Drosophila melanogaster: one gene and its partners. The protein of the gene in region 3 interacts with the protein of the main gene of each other region in a pairwise test. Each region holds a gene or a part of one and is shown on either strand. Other genes may lie near its edges.

What was found.
Region 1: the proteins of CG15547 (region 3) and Uro interact in a two-hybrid assay, tested with the Drosophila melanogaster proteins (one large-scale study listed by BioGRID).
Region 2: the proteins of CG15547 (region 3) and CG10465 interact in a two-hybrid assay, tested with the Drosophila melanogaster proteins (one large-scale study listed by BioGRID).

Annotation. Positions count from the first base shown.
Region 1 is NT_033779.5:7,777,927-7,781,684, forward strand, and holds Uro (urate oxidase), read left to right. Parts: upstream 1-2,158; 5' UTR 2,159-2,191; coding exon 2,192-2,765; intron 2,766-2,834; coding exon 2,835-3,319; 3' UTR 3,320-3,489; downstream 3,490-3,758. Other genes in the region: CG7179 (uncharacterized protein), read right to left, coding at 1-59; CG7164 (uncharacterized protein), read left to right, coding at 3,709-3,758. UniProt on the Drosophila melanogaster protein: Catalyzes the oxidation of uric acid to 5-hydroxyisourate, which is further processed to form (S)-allantoin.
Region 2 is NT_033778.4:5,339,284-5,343,041, forward strand, and holds CG10465 (uncharacterized protein), read right to left. Parts: upstream 1,713-3,758; 5' UTR 1,460-1,712; coding exon 1,279-1,459; intron 1,230-1,278; coding exon 505-1,229; 3' UTR 423-504; downstream 1-422.
Region 3 is NT_033777.3:30,881,419-30,885,176, reverse strand, and holds CG15547 (uncharacterized protein), read left to right. Parts: upstream 1-1,673; 5' UTR 1,674-1,777; coding exon 1,778-2,049; intron 2,050-2,105; coding exon 2,106-2,194; intron 2,195-2,249; coding exon 2,250-3,061; 3' UTR 3,062-3,385; downstream 3,386-3,758. Other genes in the region: Sap-r (Saposin-related), read left to right, coding at 1-457, 527-1,002, 1,060-1,201, 1,260-1,264.

The DNA of each region.
Region 1 (3,758 bases), on a different chromosome or scaffold from region 3:
CCCTGGGCTTCAAATGGAATGACACTCAGTACCAAGAGAAGGACTATTGGCAGCTCCATGTCGTTGTTCGTCCGCTGGTAACGCGCTCAAAGACGCAACTAACTCGTTGCGGTTCACGAGACATCGATGTTTGCCTGCCAAAAAATAATATTTTACATGGGTGCGTCGCAGGTTTCACTGGAAAACAATTTGCACTTTTGTTTGTGGAGTCGACAACAAAAGCATTCACTTGTCTAAGACTCTCTCATTCATAACTCGCACTTTAGTTCACTGAACCGCACGCAAAACTTTGGGGCGGACAACATGTTTTCGAGGTGCCAAAAGCTTCATAAAACTACCAATCCATTAGATTAAATTCCAGGCGGTACATCTTTTGGGGATGATTCATGTGGCAGGGGTTCTCTACTCGTTTACAATCATATCATCATCTTCAAGATCATATAGTTTATCATATCAGTAGAGTACTACAATATAATGCATAAACTAAGCCAAATAACTTTATGACGCGTGCTTATGCGAAAGTAAACTTTATTATCAAATTTACTTAACCGTGAAATCAAAACCTTTATATAAACACGAATATTATTATCTTTGCTAAATAAAACTCTCGCTTAACAAACAATGACACTTCAATTCCAACATAGAGTTTATCTTAAGCCAATAACCAAAAACGGAACTTACATAACTTGCCAACAAACATATGAATATAGCTATTTCGGATCGTGGGAGACCATTATGCATACAAGGCACGCTCCTAAAAACCGTGTTAAACAAATATATGTCAAATGTATATCTTAAAAAAGCGCGCACATATCTTTTGAAATATCTTCACCCAGAGTATGTATGAGATTAAACTGGATTAGCACTAAGCCACAGCTTCTGTAGATAGAAATTTTATGCAGAGAGTAGATTATTTGGCTGCTGAGCAATTTGACCACCACAAGATAGCAGAGAACATCTGACATTTTCTATATCCATATAATAAAACTGACTTAACACTAAGCTGAAGTGGTATGTTTAAATCCTCCAGCTAATAAATCGAGACTAAACGCCCTATCTTATAGTGATATATAATAGTATCTATATGTGTATTGTCATTTACTGTTTATGAGTATTTGAAAAAACCATTCTATATTTTATAGGTTAGTTAATAAATATTTTGATATACATATGTAGATTGGCTCACACGTACTTATGACCCACTACATAATAAAATTGTTTTGTTTTTTAATAGAATAATGGTTTATAAAAAGTTTAGACTCACACGGAAATGATAAACTCTTTGCAAATACAGCTTTCATTTTATTACAAATTGCACTCTTTCAGATCTGCAGTTGCTATGCCAACCTTTTATTCCCTTTACTAAAAGGGTATACTAGGCTTACTGAACAGTATGTAACTGGTAAAGTAAAGCGTTTCCGATTCTATAAATTATATATCTAAACTTTTGATCAGTCGAATCCATCTGAACACATTCTGTCACATTAGATTATTCCAGAAACTCAACTTAAACATGTGTATTTTTTAAGACCATTATCAAGGATATTAAAAATGGTCTCCTAAAATTTAATAAACAAAAGTGTCACATCAAATTTAAGACGTAAATTAATATTTTTTTTCTATGGTGAAATAATTGTTATTTTCCAATGTTGTGAAATAATAAATGTATCTTTTCAACGCACACATTTTCAAGGTTTTAATAATAATAGTGACTCGTGCGTGAATAAGAGAGAAATTAAGATTTTAAAAAAGAATAAAATTCAGAGATGTGATCTGTAAAAATTATTTACCAATTTTCATTTACCCCCGAAAGTGATGCTAATGGTTAAAACGGCATTTGCGACTTATCTCCTACGTAATATTGCAAAAATAAGGATTTGGTTAGATGAGTGTGAAGTAAACAAGATGCAAAGTTTTGGAGATAGAAAACATAGCCTTGAGTCTTGGTCATGTTTACTTGGCACCAGGCCGCGATTATCAGCGCTACTAGTCGTAATTTGAGTTAGACCTTTAATACTCTAAGTGAGAGTGATGATATACGATTTCCCAGCCACTTGCTTTCTACGAAATGCGCTAAAAAAAATCCCTAACTACACAAAGATTTGTGTTGTTATCCAGGTGTTCTGATATAAAAGGCGGCAAGGAAATTGATGGCATCATCAGTATCAAAGTGAGAGTGATTGCAGTCACAATGTTTGCCACGCCCCTCAGACAGCCAGCTGCGGCTAACCACCAGACCCCAAAGAATTCCGCCGGCATGGATGAGCATGGTAAGCCGTATCAGTACGAGATTACCGATCACGGATACGGCAAGGATGCGGTCAAGGTGCTGCATGTCAGCCGCAACGGACCCGTGCACGCCATCCAGGAATTCGAGGTGGGCACTCACCTGAAGTTGTACAGCAAAAAGGATTACTACCAGGGCAACAACTCGGACATCGTGGCCACCGATTCGCAGAAGAACACCGTCTATTTGCTGGCGAAAAAGCATGGCATTGAAAGTCCCGAGAAGTTTGCTCTGCTCCTGGCCAGGCACTTTATTAACAAATACTCGCACGTGGAGGAGGCGCACGTTCATGTGGAGGCGTATCCCTGGCAGCGAGTTTGCCAGGAGGAGACCAGGACCAACGTCAATGGGAAGTGCGAGAACGGAGTCCAAGGGAACTGCGACTTCAGCTCCATTGACAACAGATCACTGCACAATCACGCTTTTATATTCACGCCCACCGCTCTTCACTACTGCGATGTGGTTATAAGGAGAACAGGTTAAGTCAAACATAACTAAAGCAATAATATTTAAAACTACTAAATTATCACCTCCTTTACTGTTTTAGATCCCAAACAAACGGTCATCACGGGCATCAAGGGTCTCCGGGTGCTGAAGACGACCCAATCCTCGTTCGTGAACTTCGTGAACGATGAGTTCAGATCTCTGCCAGATCAGTATGATCGCATCTTTAGCACCGTGGTGGATTGCTCCTGGGAGTACTCCGATACCGAGAACTTGGACTTCCTCAGGGCCTGGCAAACGGTCAAAAACATAATCATTCGTAACTTTGCTGGCGATCCGCAGGTGGGCGTGTCCTCGCCCTCCGTTCAGCACACCCTGTATCTGAGTGAAAGACAGGTCCTGGATGTCCTGCCGCAGGTGTCGGTCATTTCGATGACCATGCCAAACAAGCACTACTTCAACTTCGATACGAAGCCCTTCCAGAAGATTGCACCCGGCGACAACAATGAAGTTTTCATCCCAGTGGACAAGCCACATGGCACCATCTATGCCCAATTGGCCCGGAAGAACATCAATAGTCACCTGTAGATCGATCTCTGATGTAGTAAATCTAAATCAATCTAAATCAATTTAGCCAATTCATAATTGCATGCGGCGAAGTTATATATGTATTTTAAATTATTTAAGCAAACGAATCATATGCTGCGTTCTTCTTATTTAAACAATAATAAACTAATAAAAAATAAAGTGTAAAAATGAATAAATCGATTGCAAAACCATATTTCGAGATCACCCTTGCCTTGGCTGAATAAATCCAAATTATATCAGAACTATTTTCTAAAATCCTAAAATGAGGCATCGTTCATAAAAAAAAATATATAAAATAAATTCCACAATTTTCGACCACTTTGGCAGTCAAAATTCGCAATCTAAATTCGAAATTAGCAAATAACCATTTAGCCACAAACAGCGTGACCATGACCAATCGACTGGCCTTGCACCACATCCTGACCACCCAGCTGCGAAG
Region 2 (3,758 bases), on a different chromosome or scaffold from region 3:
GAAGAAATTATAGCTCTTCTTCTTGTTCTTCGAATAGTGATGATCCTAAAATCATCGATAGTCTAAATTAAACATCGATGTTTCGGAAAATTTAAAAAACATCGCTGATAAAACGTGATATTTAGTTTTGAACTGAAGAGGTTTTATTAATAACTTTAAACCAGTAGTAGTAATTTTCGGAACAGAATAGCGCTTATGCAATCCACTGTTAGGTGTACAGTGCAAAGGGAATGTCATTTCTAGTTAATATGATCGGAACTATCAACTTAACAAAGCATCGTTCTACAGTTGGCTTGGGAAGGAAAGCTTATTAACGCATATGTGGAAAACACGGAATTTCTTCTTAACAGGATAACCAAAAAAAAAACCATTTTATTTCAACTACACCTATAGCAGACCACACAGCAGAAATAGCAAGTTTTATTAAGAAAAGAAAACATATATATATTTTTTTTAATCGTTTATAAAAAACAATGTCAATCATATGTAATAGAGTTTTGTAAATCAGGACGGATTATTACGCTTGTTGGATCGTAATCGCGCTAGTCCAGTGCGTTCTTCTTCCTCATCGCTTGTGTACTGATTAATGCTGGTTCCACTTGCACTTCCTACTCGTGCTGAAGACGTTGCCTGCATGAGCTCTTGGTCTGGTGCATTGCGGTTTTCATAAAGCAAGACTTGTAGCGTTTCTTCGTATATACGAGCTTCCGGAAATTCAACTTTAGTATGCTTTCTGTCAGTTGCATAAACTATTGAAGTGCAACACACTTCAGCTACTTTTTTTCCGTGTCCGTAAAATGACCAGCAGCAGATTTCACTTGGCCCAATTACGTCTTTAATAAACAAAATTCGTTCGTTAAAGCGCAAAGAAAGCTTATCAAATAATTCAATATTTTTTAATAAGTTGTCGTCTGATGTACTTGTGTACGAATACTTGTTATTCTGCCGCTGAACCACAAGAATAACAGCCGGCTTTAAAGAAACACTTAATAAAAGCTGCTCTTCCTTTTGTGAAGTTATAAGTGGAATGCGGCAAATTGGCTTTGGCTCCTGATGAGCATATAGTGCCCGTTCACAAGAAATAGCTAACTCGGTAATGCAGTAGTATTTGGCTTCGGCAAGCAATTCTGCAATTTCCTTGTTAGTTTCTGGTAATGGAACAGTGCCATCTCTTAAATAATTAAGAATGATACCAAAATGATTTCCACAGCGATCGATTAAAATCCATCCTAGAATTTTGTATATTAATATTATTCCGTATAAGAACATGTAACAAACCTTCCGAATCAGTCAGCACTTCCATTCTACCACTAAACATTGCGCTCAGCATTGTGTCATTGTTTTTCGTCAGTGTTCCAATTGTGGTATAATATAAATGACCACCAACATTAAGTTTTAAATATTGGGAGGAATGTCCTTTTAATAAAATTTTGTGATCACCTGACATTGATTCCGACATTTATACTTTTTGTTCTCTAGCTTTCGGGGTTCAGCTACTGCATTCAGATAACTTGCTTAGTCGGTCATAGTTCTCATGCGTTTATGCAAATTCGGCGAAATAGTGATTAGCAATTTAAAATTGTATTTTGACTTCAATGTATTGTATTAAAGGTATATTTAATGTATGTATTTATTGTTTTGGACAGCTCAAAAATTTGAGAAAATATCGATATGGAAACGACCCATCGATTTCAATTTATATTTTAAGGGCCTGTTTGGACAAGAGTGGGTCTATACCACATGGTATACCATAGAACAACGTGATTTTAAATATGCATACCGTCCACAGTTTTGCTGAAAATTAGAATGCTCCTGTTAGATAACACAACAACTATACAAGAGAGGGACTGTCGCTAAAATATTGAAATCTTAACAATGCCAAATTTTAGCGCTATTTTTTCTAGTTATAATCAAATTTTCAAAAGTTGCCATATTAAAGTAATTTTGAGTGAATCAGAATATATTCATTATCTAATAGCTATTTATTTTATTTATTTTATGTTGCATACCTGAGATTACAAGTAAGATATCAGCTCAGCGCATCTGATAACGTGAAACTCAATTTTATTAAAATAAAAGTTGTATGTATATATAACCGCCCCATGTGCGATTAATTACAATACATATAAGTTATCCCACCCGTAAATATAGCACCCTGCTCTGTTGATAAACAAATTTCATACCCCGATCTCAGCAGCATTTCCTTTGTTTTTGTTTTTGTCGCCAGCACTTAACCATCCGATAAATGACCAAACTTAACGTAAACACCAGTCAGCAAATTTCAATTTCATAATGCTGTGAAATAATTTCAGTATAAAGTTCAAGAGAATTCTAAATAAAAGCTTCTGGCCGAGGTTGAGTGGATTAGGATTAAGATTTAAAAATCAGACTGAATCGGGACGATTAATTAGCGCCCAACGTATAGCGGTGTAGTTCAAAAGTTCTAAAAAAATATTAACAATAATAAGTTAAATATAAAACGAAACTCGCGCCGCTAACCACTCACATTCTTAAAACATCCACATTAATCCAACGACATCTAACTACTGTGGCAGTGATCGTGGAAAAACTTAATTGGAAATTATAAATGCAATAATCCAACTAAGAATATTATATTTAAAAATGTGGACTAAATTCTTAATACAAACTACGAGAACACAAGAATAATAATAATCAGACTCAGCAAGAAAGACAATTGAAACAAAAAGCCAAAAACTATTACCGAAAATATCCCAAAAATAAAAAAATCAACAAGAAGAAAGGATGACCTGATGGTAATCCCCCGCCCCAGCTAAATACAAACAATTGACAGTAAATAATCAGGACAATTAACCTAAAGGACCTAATAAGACTCCAACAAAATGTATCGTGACCAGAAATTAATATTAAGTCTTTAAAAGAAATTAATAAAATTAGAGAAAGCTATAAGGAATACCATAGAGTTTTAAAATTAAACATTTCAACATCAAATGTATCAATTAATTAAAGAAAACAATCTGGAAAATTTAATAGTTTTGAAAATTAAATTTAATAATGGTAACCGGAGGTTCAGCACCAACCAGCGCCATGAATCTGAAAATGGAATTAATTACCCGATTAAAAAATGTACAATTGGGAGAAGTGACCAAAAAAATTGAAGGGACAGAAGGGCAGTTAAACGCTAGCAGAAATGTAGTAGAGTTTATAAAATGCAAACAATTGACCCAACTATAAAGTGCGACACTACCGCTTAGGTAATTAAATCTTTACCAAAGTTGAGAGTTCTAGGCAAGTAAGAAGCGGCAGAAACTGTCATGGGTCTATATAAAATTCGAAGTGAACAATATCTTATCTGTTTACCAATACTACGTTATAAAATCATGGGAGCAACACATGATGCTCTAACTAACCATGATACAGTTTTAAACTTTAACGCAATTCTTTCCAGATTGGATTTTGTTTATAAAGATTAAAGGCCAATCCATATTCTCGAATCTGAATTATGCATCCTTAGACAGGGGCGCTAAAGCATTACAGAATTCTACAACAAAGTTAACAAGAAAATTGCTTTACTCATAACAAAAATTTTAATGACATATGCAAATGACAGAGAAATAACCAAGGAAATGAATAGAACAATTAGGAGTAACGCTCTTAGAATTCTTAATTCCTTATTTTACTCTTTTCTCTAAACCTACTAGACTTGCCAAATGTTTTGGCAAAGTGTCAGAATAAGAAACTAACATCATCTAAACATCAAATAGAATGAATAATAATTG
Region 3 (3,758 bases):
ATCACAGATTTTAAGCCGCAGGAGATCTGCGTCCAACTGAAGCTCTGCCCAAAGACCACTTACGCTCTCTGGGACTTGCGCATCTCGCTGGAGGACGATGTCGATGGTGAGGACAAATCCAGCAGTGAGGAAATCAGCTTCAATGACATTGAGTCCCTTGAGGAGCTGCCCCCTCAGCTGGCCTTCGACCCAGGATTCACCGCTGCTCCGAACTGCCTGATCTGCGAGGAGTTGGTTAAGACCTTGGAGAAGCGTATGGGCAAGCACCCCACCAGAGACAGCATCAAGCATATCCTGGAGGAGTCTTGCGACCGAATGAGGAAGCCAATGAACACTAAATGCCACAAGGTTATCGACAAGTACGGCGATAAGATCGCCGATCTGCTGTTAAAGGAAATGGATCCCAAGCTTATCTGCACGGAGTTGGGAATGTGCATCCTGGCTGATCTGGATGATCGTGAGTATTAAATTCTAGAGCTACGTTAAGTATACGTTTAAACTAATGAATTTCATTTTCGTAATACAGTCGAAGTGGATGAGGCTTTGAAGTACGACGTGATTGCTCTGCCGCGCCAGGACAACAAGCTGTCTAGCAGCATCAAGGAGCCGCCCACCTGCGTCCTTTGCGAATTTATCATGACCAAGTTGGATGCCGATCTAAAGAATAAGACCGAACAGGACGACATTAAGCGAGCGATTGAAGCCGTGTGCAATCGCCTGCCAGCCACGGTGCGCAAACAGTGCGACACCTTCGTCGATGGATATGCCTCTGCGGTCCTGAAATTGCTGAGCGATGTGCCGCCCAAGCAGGTGTGCCAGAAACTGCAGCTCTGCTTCAGCGTGGCCGTCACCGATGAAGTTTTGGAGTGTGGTGTGTGCCATGGAGTCACCCAGGCTCTGTTGCCCTTCCTGCGCGAGAAGAAAGATAACGTATCCGAAGTGACAGCCCTACAGATGACATCGGTGGGATGCGAGAACTTGCCAGCCAAGTACTACAAGATCGTATGTAACTTACAATCCTGAATGTTATAAATATCTATAAGTTCCTTTGCGTTGCAGTGCTCTGAGATGATCTCCATCTATGGCAGTAGCATTAAGAACTTGGCCAAACGACCCTATATTGATCAGTCGCATATTTGCGCCGAGATTGGCAAGTGTTTCGAAAGCGAGAAGTCTTCGCTGGCCTTTGCTAGAATTTCAGGTAAGCTATAGGTTGAAGGACCCAAACAATACATTTACTAATTTACTATCTTCAACAGCCTAAGTGATGCGTTGTGATGTACGAACCAGGCGCGGAGGATTTGAAGGAGAAGGGACCCGATCCCACGCTTTATATATGCATATACCTTTACATATATCTGTTTACATTCTATAACGATTTACTGTAAATGAAACATAATTACTTACTTTTCGTTTTGTACCCCGGTTTTTGGCTCTAAATTTGTTAGGTGAATTTGTGATGAAACTGAATTTATAAACGCACTCAAACGCCGGCTGAAAAAAGTTAAACTTAACTAAACTAACACTTACACTAAGCAGTACCCTTATCGTAATTTCAACATAAAAATTAGCGAAATTCACGAGCCGCAAACTTTGTATCGATATCCCCATGTGTCCGAAGTCATTTGAGCAGTGTGTGTAGTTTAAGATATCAAGCAAAACTGTGTAAAATACGAACATTGATCTTATAAATCATACAGAAAACTTAAACCGACATAGTAGCACATTATTGAAAATTCCCAATTCCCCTTGGAATAGTATATATTTTCTAGCCGACATGTTTGAGAACTCCCTGTTTATCATTAAGCCGGACTATCTGCACAAGCGGCGTCCGGTGCTCTTAAAGTTGCTGGCCGAGGGCTTCCAGATTCAGGGTAATCGACGGATTGCCTTTTCGCCAGAAACTGCCGCCGAGTTCTATGCCGATTATGCCGATGAAAAGGGGTTTATGCTGGAGGTCATTCTGCTTTCGAAGGGTGTTTCCGAGGCGTTCATAGTTACGAAGGAAAACGCCGTGCAGGAGCTGCTCAACATCATGATTTGTTATTTGTGAGTTTGCTTTTAAAATAAAATAATAAGTTCTCTAGGTACAATTTGACTTTAAGTGGTTCGGCATCGGATCTGGAACGCAATATCCATGTCACCAAGAACAGTTACAGCGTGGCTCGTGAGATAAACTTTATTTTTCCCAACTGTAAGTAGCGATACAGAGATTAATAAAGTAAAAAATAATATATCGAATTTTTCAGATATTCACGAGCCCCATCAAATGTTCGACCACAACAACTTCTGCAACAGGCCGATGCTTAAGCCGCTGCTCGAGGAGATCTACGACATAATGCAGAACACCGACTGCAGCCAGGAGAACTGGAAGGTGCGTGTTTCCGATTACCTGGTGCGCAGCAATCCAAAGATGCCGGAAATCAGCAACCAGTGCCAGCAGCGACCGGATGTGGCTATCCAGGACAAATCGCAGCAGACCACCATGACCTATGCTCCGAAGCCAAGTGCGCGGGCCGCGCAGCCGGGAGTCAAGAAAACGCAGAGCAGCAGTGCACCCTTGTCCACCACATCCCCGCATTCCTCAATGCTGCTCTCATCGTCTTCCTGTGTCACCTGTGGAGGCTTCGAAAGATCTCAGCCCGGTATTTCGGATCTGGACCTTAATAAGCGCGTAGAACCTCATGACGAGGAGCCAGTCTGTGTGGACGAGGAGATTTTGTGGAAGGAAGTTATTGTCTACGAGGAAATCCAACCGGAGGCTGAGGAGCAGGAGTCCAAGGAGGACCTGCACGACCTGGAGGAGGAAGGCGTAGGCGAGTCTGGGGGCTCAGATGCGGAGTCAGACCGAAGTGTTCATGAAGCTCCACCGCCACCAGCTCAAGATGACGAGTCCGAAGAGGGTGACGCTGCTGCTGGGGAGCCAGGCGAAACTGCTCCCGCTCCTGAAGTGGCTCCTCCTGCCCAAGAGGCTACTGCTGCGCCTGAAGTCCCTGCAGTGGCTGAAGAACATCCTCACGCAGCAGAAGCTCCCGCAGAGGAAGCTCCACCAGGGGAATAAGTTTGTTTCACTAGTACACCTGTTGCCCCCATCATTTGTTTGGCGAAGCATAGAAAAAATGGACTAAAATGCGCGCAATTTTTGCATCACCAGCCATTGCACCCGTTGAACCACCTTAAACTGGCAATTGCGCACTCGCAGAATTTTGGGAGGAGGGTTTAAAATGCTGGTCCTGCAGTTCTTTATTTGCCCCTAAAAAGTGCATCCCACACGGCAGGAAAATCAACAGGAGCAACAGCTTTTTAGCCTCCAATTTGCCGCTGGCCAAATGGCAAAGTTTTTTCGCCCCTTTCAAGTGTCCAATAAAAAAAATCGTTGTAAATTAAAACAAACAATGAAATCAAATTAAATTTATGGGCCAACTTTCGGTGCAAAAGTGTGTGTTGCATATGGCACACTTTTTCGCGGGGCAAAGTGGCCTGCAGTGGTTGCAATTAACCCAATTAAAGAACAACAATAGGTTTCGCCTGGATTATTTGGATTTCAGCGATTTACTTTGATGGAAGGAGTAATCTAGATTTGGGTTGTGCTTTAATGTACACCTTAATATGTACTTTTGGTAGTCAAGCCAAGTAATATTTAAGCTGCATCGAGCAGGCTAAAATCCAATCGTATGATTTTATACATATTTAAATGATTAAAGCAGCGCATCAGTATTTTGGAACTGATAAACCAAGACATCTCCACTGATCCTTGT